Linked DNA regions of Mus musculus. The protein of the gene in region 1 interacts with the protein of each later gene in a biochemical or structural test. Links are inferred from orthologs where the notes say so. Each region holds a gene or a part of one and is shown on either strand. Other genes may lie near its edges. The genes, in order: Map4k1 and Crkl.

Region 1 (3,812 bases):
GGTTTTACCTGCATGTACACCTGTCTATCACATGCGCACAGTGTTGACAGAGGCCAGAAGAGGGCACTGTATCTGCTGGAGCTGGAGTTAACTGGTTGTTGATTCTCATATGGATGCTGAGAACTGAACCCAAGTCCTCTGCAAGAGCAACAAGTGCTCTTAGCCACTGAGCCAGCTCTCCAGCCCCAGGAAGCTCTTTTTTGCTATTTAAGATTTACATTTTAAATTTTTAGATAATGTCTTCTAACATACAACATTGTTATTAATTATTTGAGAATGTCATACGATATATTTTGATTATATCCTGACCTTCCACTCATCCCAGATTCAGGCCCACCCAGCCTGAGTTTGTACCGTTCAAACTTATGACTGTGGGGCCATCTACTAGAACATGGCTAGCTCTTAAAGAAACTGACTTTTTCTCCCTGGAAGCTGTCAACAAATGTGTGCTGTGTTTATGTTTGTGCACACAAACCCAGGCACTTACAGAGTAGAAAAGAGCATGTAGGTCCCTGGAGCTGCAGTTACAGGCAGTTGTGAGCCTCCAGGCATGGGTGCTGGGAACCAGCAGGTGCTCAGCTCTGGAGAGAGCGTCTTACCGGAGTGACGTTGTTGGCCTAGCCAAACCTGGAGCAGAAGTTGTGGTTACTGTTGGGATTTGGGGATCCAAGAGGGGAAGGGAAAGAATGAACTGAAAAGCAGATACTAGGAGAGTCCGAGTTTAGAGGCCAGCGGTGTCTGAGTAAGATCATCTACAGTTAGGGATCGTGATGGAGCCCTAAGGGAAAATGAAGGTCACCTGCATTCAGATGGTAGAGACTGGCATCAGTTTTTTTTTTTTTTTTGGGGGGGGGGCTGGGTTTCACTGCAGCAGAAAAGGACAGACTCAGGAGATTAGAGATGGAGGTTAAGATTGAGGGGTCAGGGCCGGGTGTGGTGGCGCACACCTTTAATCCCAGCACTTGGGAGGCAGAGGCAGGTGGATTTCTGAGTTCAAGGCCAGCCTGGTCTACAGAGTGAGTTCCAGGACAGCCAGGGCTACACAGAGAAACCCTGTCTCAAAAAAACAAAAAAAAAAAAAAAAAAATTGAGGGGTCAGTATTAAATAATAAGAGTCTTGGAATAGAGGTATGTTCCTTTAATGCCAGCATTCCTGAGGCTGAGGCAAAGGATCATCACTTGTTTGAAGCCAGCCAGAGCTGTATAGCAAGAGCCTTCTCCTCTTCCTCCTTCCCTTCTTCTTCTTCCTCCTCTTTTTTCTTTTCTCTTTTTGGTTTTTCAAGAAAAGGTTTCTCCCTGAAGCCCTGGCTGTCTTGGAACTCTGTAGAGCAGGCTGGCCTCAAACTCACAGAGATCTACCTGCCTCTGCCTCCTGAGTGCTGGGCTTAAAGGCGTGCGCTGCCACCACCACCTGGCTGACAAGAGCCTTCTTAAGCAAACAAAGAGCATAGTGGTCCATACTGCTAACCCCTGCTCTTAGGAGGTAGAGGCAGGAGGATCAGAAATTCAGATTCAACTTTGGTTTCATAGCAAGTTCAAGGGCCAGTGGGATACTTGTGAGCAGGTCTCATAAAACAAGAGACAGTCAGGGGAGAAGACTCAGTGGTTAAGAGCACCAGCTGTTTTGTTCAGAGGACCTATGTTCAGTTCCCAGCACCCACATGGGGGCTCACAGTCTTCTCTAACTCCAGTTCCAGGGGATCCCAACCCTCTTCTGGCCTCTGAGGGCACTGCATGTTCATGGTGTACAGGTTGACATGTAGACAAACACGCATACTGAGAGACACCAGAGCTGATCAGCCCCACTGGATAGAAAAGCATACGTTGAGAATCCAGAGTCAAAAATCAGTGATGGAGATCAGCACTAGGGAGGAAGGGGCAGGGCTTAGAGAGGTGCTGCAGGAAGTAGAGTTGGAGGGCCCTGGACAGAGAACTGCCAGGCATTGGCAAGTTACAGAAGGGGGTGGGGGTGGGGAGGAGGGGTCATGGAGACTGGCTTAAGGGACTGAGCGGGGGGGGGGGTTAGAAACTGGGGGTGTCAGCCTGCAAGGGGAATTGGTATGAAAGGGTGAGTTTGGGGTAGAGGGCCAGTTTTGGACAAAGGTCTGGGAGGTCCATCTCCCATGATGAGAGAGCCCAGCAAACTCCTTGTCTGGCCCACTCAGATCAGAACCTGCTCCTGGGGGCAGAGGAAGGCATTTTCATACTGAACCGGAATGATCAGGAGGCCACGCTGGAAATGGTGAGGGATGGGATCAGTGCTGGGAGTGGGGTGGGGTTGCACAGGGTCAAATGGGGATCACAGGAGTCACCCCATCCTCTACAGATCTTCCCTGGCCGCACAACCTGGCTCTATTGCATCAACAACCTCCTCATGTCTCTCTCAGGTTAGCCTGTGGCTAGGGCAGGGGCAGGGGCTGGGGCCAGGAGTGAAGGGAGGGTGGGTATGTGTGTGTGTGGATGAGCACAAACTGAGCCCTCACCTCCACCGGGCCTGAGGTTCATAGCTCACCACTGGTTGAACTTAAGGCCAGGAGCTTTTCTCTCTGAGCCTTAGTTTTCCTATCTGTAAAATGGAGCTCTGATATCTTCACTCCTTTAAGTTGGTTGTGAGTTAATTTTTTACAATCAATTCATCTTTAAATAACTTTGACATCTCTGGGTGTTGTTGGCACACCCCTTTAATCCCAGAGCAGAAGAGACAGGTACAGGTAGGTGGGTCAGGACTTAGTCTCACTTAAGATAGACTGAAGAAATTACAGGGTTTGCTGTTGTTTGGTAAGTACTAGGGCCCGTGTTTGTGGGGCACATGTGCTACCACTGAGCTGTATCTCCAGAACACCCCAACCCCTATCTTTTTTTTCACCCAAGCCAGGGTTTCTCTGTGTAGCCCTGGCTGTCCTGGAACTCATGTAGACCAGGCTGGCCTCAACCTCACAGAGAACTGCTCATCATCATCTCCCCTCCTTTTTTTTTTTTTTTTGAGACTGTCTATCCCTGGCTAGCCTCAAACTTAGAGTGACTCACTTGCTTCAGCCTCCCAAGTTCTGAGACTATGAGCAGGTGCCACCAATCCTGGCTTAGGTAGGTTTTTCTGTTAAACTTTGAAATATGTGCCAGGTGTAGAGTCAGGAGGATGGGAGTTCAAGACCAGCCTCAGCTCCATGGGGAGTTAGAGGTCAGCCTGGACCTGAGACACAAGCACCAAAAAAATAAACTTCAGGTGCAACCTCATGGGCTGGGTAAACCTCACTCCTGTTGCCGGTGCAGCAGCGTTATGAGGGCAGGCGACCTATTCTGCTCTGTTTTCCTAAGCAGATCACGGTGATGCCTGGACCACACTGGTCCTTTCAAGTCTCAAGACTGGGAACTGTGTGACTGGAAAGTGGGGTTTGCATGTTGGGAAGTTTCAGCGGGCTGGGAGACAAAGAGATGGCAAGGGTCCTCTAACTGCTTGACACTCCCGCTCTCATACACACACTGCAGGGAAGACACCCTACCTGTATTCTCATAGCATCCTGGGCCTGCTTGAAAGGAAAGACGGCAGAACGGGAAGCCCCATTGCTCACATTAGCCCTCACCGGTTACTGGCAAGGTAGGAGCCCCACAGGGCGCCATTGGCTTCCCTGCCCCCAGTGCGCCCGCGCAGCCCCTCACTCCTCTTCCTCCTCCTCCAGAAAGAACATGGTCTCCAGTAAGATCCAGGACACCAAAGGCTGCCGGGCTTGCTGTGTGGGTGAGAGCCAGCTTCCCTCCGGGTGCAGAGTGATGGGGCGGGCTGGTGCCTGGCCAGTGTCTACTCAATAAGGTTG
Region 2 (4,296 bases), on another chromosome or scaffold:
CAGTTATTACCCTACAATCTAAGAATTGCTAAACATGGGAAATGTAAACGGCCAGAACAAGACTTTAGTGATAGAGATCTAAGTAGGAGTTCTCCTGTATTCCTCACTTTTGAGATTTCTCCCTCCCCTAACTTCCTCCCCATTTTTGTTGGGTTTCATAGAGCTCAGCTGCCTTGAACTCATGATCCTCCTGCCTCCATCTCCTAGTGATGGGATTATTGGTATGTGTCACCACCACTGGCTTGGGACATGCCTTCCTGTTTATCTAATTTGGGAATGCTATGACCAATAATCCAGCATCTGTTTTTGTGGTGATTTTTCACAATAGTCATTCATTTAACAAATTTCTGATCATTCAAGACTAGATGTGGATTTAAGGCAGGCAAAATATAGGTAAATAAGACAGTATTCTGTGGTATTAAAATTTCATCCTAGCCTGTTGGTGGTCAGAGTTAGTTCCAGGACAGCCAGGGCCACACAGAGAATTCCTATCTTGATAGATAGATAGATAGATAGATAGATAGATAGATAGATAGGCCGGGCAGTGGTGGCGCATGCCTTTAATCCCAGCACTTGGGAGGCAGAGGCAGGCGGATTTCTGAGTTCGAGGCTAGCCTGGTCTACAAAGTGAGTTCCAGGACAGCCAGGACTACACAGAGAAACCCCGTCTCTAAAAAACCAAACAAATAATTAAATAAATAGGTACTAGTCGGGTTGGAGGGAGAAATATGTCAAGGGAGGCAGAGCTGAAACTGAGCAACGTGGAATGGCAGGAAATGAACTGTTGCAGAGCAACAGGCTTCAGGCCAGACACAGGTGTTGCATTTCACTTGTTACACTTTACAGCCGGTAGTGTCCAGTCATCCTCACCAACACACTGTCCTCCTCGTAAAGTATTAGTCAAACTGATCTTCACCATCATTCCACGTGTACCAAGGAGGATCACCTAGGGCAGGCGTTATTTGATAGGTTATTCAGTAACCTATTTGATGGTCACCTCACTCCCTAGGTCATGCCCTTCCTGAGCCACCTGATTTACCAGGGCCTTCTGGCTCGCAATCATCTGACGGCCACGCCTTCTTGGCCGGACACTCAGCAACCACTCTACGCTTTGTTCACAGAAACAGGTTTTCAAAACGCTGTTCCCTCTCGGCTCCAGCTGTTTTCCTGCCAAGCCCGGGAAGCCTGACAGCAGCAGCTTCTCGGCGGCTGCTTTGCGGTCCAGGAAGGGCCTGACCCTCTGCCTCCTCCCGGAACGCGGGAGCCCGCGCGAGTGGCTCACGCTGGGACCCTCGCGAACGCACTCCTGATTGGCAGCGCCCAGTGACGTCAAAGGAAGGGCCTCCGCGGTGGAGGGGGTAGAGCCCAGCTCCGCGCGTGCGCAGATTGAATGCGCTGGACCAAGGGGGAGGTGCCCGGCTGCTTCTCCCGCGTCCGCCATTTTGTTGCTGTGGCTATTGGGAGCGGGCTGGGTAAGACTGCTCGGGAGGCGCGACTCTTGTTGGAGTGCGGTGCTTCGTGTGACCGCGGGGATCGGTGCAGGCTCTTGAGGCTGTGGAGCCGGCGGCGGGTTCCAGGACAGAAGTCACTGGAGCCTCCCCTGTACTCCGGCCAGCTGAGAAGCCCGAGGCGGCCTCCGCTACTGCTCAGCTTCGCCCACCTCGACCCCGGGGCTTTGCCCAGTGTTCCCGGACCGGCTCTCCGTGAGGCGGCCCGGTGCAGGAGGGCGGTGGCGGAGGATGCTGCGGGGCCCGGAGCCTAGAGGAACGTCCTGACCAAGCCCTCTGATTGTTCCTCGAAGTGTTCTGAGAGGCCCTTCCTCGACCCCAAAGCCGACAGCGGGTAAAGGCTTCCCAAGCAAGAGAGCCGCAGACGCCGCCCATCCCCGAGCCCAACACCATGTCCTCCGCCAGGTTTGATTCTTCAGACCGCTCTGCCTGGTACATGGGGCCAGTGACTCGCCAGGAGGCGCAGACTCGTCTCCAAGGCCAGCGCCATGGCATGTTCCTAGTCCGGGACTCATCTACCTGCCCCGGGGACTATGTACTGTCCGTGTCCGAGAACTCGCGTGTCTCGCACTACATCATCAACTCCCTGCCCAACCGCCGCTTTAAGATCGGGGACCAGGAGTTTGACCATTTGCCGGCCTTGTTAGAGTTCTACAAGATCCACTACCTGGACACTACCACCTTAATCGAACCGGCGCCCAGGTACGCGAGCTCCTGCCCTTCTCCGGTTCAGAACTTGACCGGATGCGAAGGGTCGGTCAAAGATTAAATTTTGGGGGTAGGGTAGGGGATAGAACTCCTTTTCCTCATTCTAAATCAGAAGACATTCGGATTATAAGGCCAATATCAGGATCTGGGTCATTGGATGAAAGGATGCATTTTATTTAGACATTTAGCAGTGCTGCTTGCATTGTTTAAATGCACCCCTAACCCCCCACATATATACACAGTTTTGCCACTTTACTTGACTGTAATACTAATGCAGAATGCTTATTAACGACGCTAAAAATATAGACTTCCTTGAGATTCTGAAGATAGCCATGACTCCTCCTTTCTCGAAATTCTTGTACACCATTTAAGGTTTTTGTAACTCCTGCATTTTTCAACTAACTTTAGGTTACAAAGTGGCCTTCGGCCTTTGGAATAATCCTTAAAATGGATCGAAAGTGTAGAAATCTCAGAATCTGATTCTCTAGCACTCATTTTTAAAACTGGGATTACCAAGAGAAGACAGTGGGATTATATTTGAAGAAATTTGTATCCTCACCGTTCCTTCCTCAGGGGTGGGAAGTGTATTTACCTAAATTCTACATTAATTCAATTTTAGTTTTTTTTTTTTTTGTAATTAAGTCTAGTGGTTTAACATATGCTTTAAAGACCCCTAAGTAGAGCTAGCTGAGATAGATACACACCCCTAGTCCCCTAAGGAAAGAGGACCTTGATTCCAAGTCAGACTGAGCTGTAGCAAGACCCTGTCTTAAAGAGAAAGATATTGATCCCCAAGTGTTCTCTTTTTCAAGTAAAATGCATTATTTTATAATTTGCTTTAATTTCCCTAACGAATATCATCAAATGATACAGTGTGAATTGAAAAGGTGTCTAGAGACTTTAAAAGATATTTTCCTGCCCAGTTTATTTCTAAGCTATTTTCTAAAAAAAGAATTAAAGGCTGATTTAGATTTTTCAGGGTGAGGCGACTTCATAAAGGTGAAATTTGCTCTGAACTTTGAAAATGAAAAGATACTATAATTAATTAAGGGCACCTACTTAAATCCAAAGAGTTTCTTCTTTAGGATAGAATAATGAAGGTGGGGTGGTTAACCGTTGCCAGACCGAGTGGATTTTAGGAAGTGTGGAGAAGGCTAAGCCTGATGATGAGTGAGGGGAAGTGTTTGCAGTGAAAGCTGGGTGACCTACCTGCCTTTGGTTCCCACCAGGGGAATGTGAACAGAGAGCCCACCCCCACAGAGTTGTCCTTTAGCCTCCGTGTGCTGAGTGAGTACTCACACACAAAGAATTGTTAAAAATGTAAAACACAGAAAAGTGACTGTAAAAAGTGATGTGTTATCCAGATGAGAATATAAAATTCTGTGAAACACGAAGTTCCTAGTAGATGCTGGCAGGTGCTGTCAACTTGAATCATCTTCAATGTAAGAGCTTGAAGAGACTTAGGATGGATAGTGTTTAGTCGTATATTTAAGTAAACTCACTTCTCGAATTGTGAACATTATGTTATTGACTTCAGGCCTTTATTAAAACATGCAACAATGTGACAGGTGTTGGAGAAAGTTTAAGTTAATTATTAGAGTCACCTCAAAGAGGGAAATATATACTGCAGTGGCTTCCTGCTAGTTACAAGATCTGATTCTACTTCATGTGTCTTCTCAAGTACCAAATGTAATTTTCTGAGTTTTTCATTAGCTCTGCTTGACACACATTCCTATCTTTTCTGTTTTGTTTAATTTCCAGATGAAAGTAATAACCAAATCATAATTATCCCTAACTTGATATCACTGTCCCGTGTACAGCTGCAAATTGTACATTATAAATTTTGGAATAGATGGCAGTGTACCTTGGGGGATATTCTTTAGTATCTCAGCTTAAATATAACAACTACTAATATTCTCTTAATTGATGTTATGCTTTATGATAAAGAAATTGAGGGGAAAACTGAATATCTGTACAAACACATAATTAACAAAATATGGTAGAAACACTCCTGTTGATTATAATCCTAACTGGTCATGTGGCCTTACTGGATACTCATAAATACCCCTCTCTACTACAT

Evidence for each region.
Region 2: the proteins of Map4k1 (region 1) and Crkl form a complex in vitro, tested with the Homo sapiens proteins (2 studies listed by BioGRID). The link is inferred for Mus musculus from reciprocal best matches to the Homo sapiens genes MAP4K1 and CRKL.

The regions. Positions count from the first base shown.
Region 1 is NC_000073.6:28,996,287-29,000,098, forward strand, and holds part of Map4k1 (mitogen-activated protein kinase kinase kinase kinase 1), read left to right. Parts: intron 1-2,165; coding exon 2,166-2,242; intron 2,243-2,326; coding exon 2,327-2,387; intron 2,388-3,486; coding exon 3,487-3,595; intron 3,596-3,677; coding exon 3,678-3,736; intron 3,737-3,812. UniProt on the Homo sapiens protein: Serine/threonine-protein kinase, which plays a role in the response to environmental stress. Appears to act upstream of the JUN N-terminal pathway.
Region 2 is NC_000082.6:17,450,579-17,454,874, forward strand, and holds the start of Crkl (crk-like protein), read left to right. Parts: upstream 1-1,406; 5' UTR 1,407-1,899; coding exon 1,900-2,210; intron 2,211-4,296. UniProt on the Homo sapiens protein: May mediate the transduction of intracellular signals.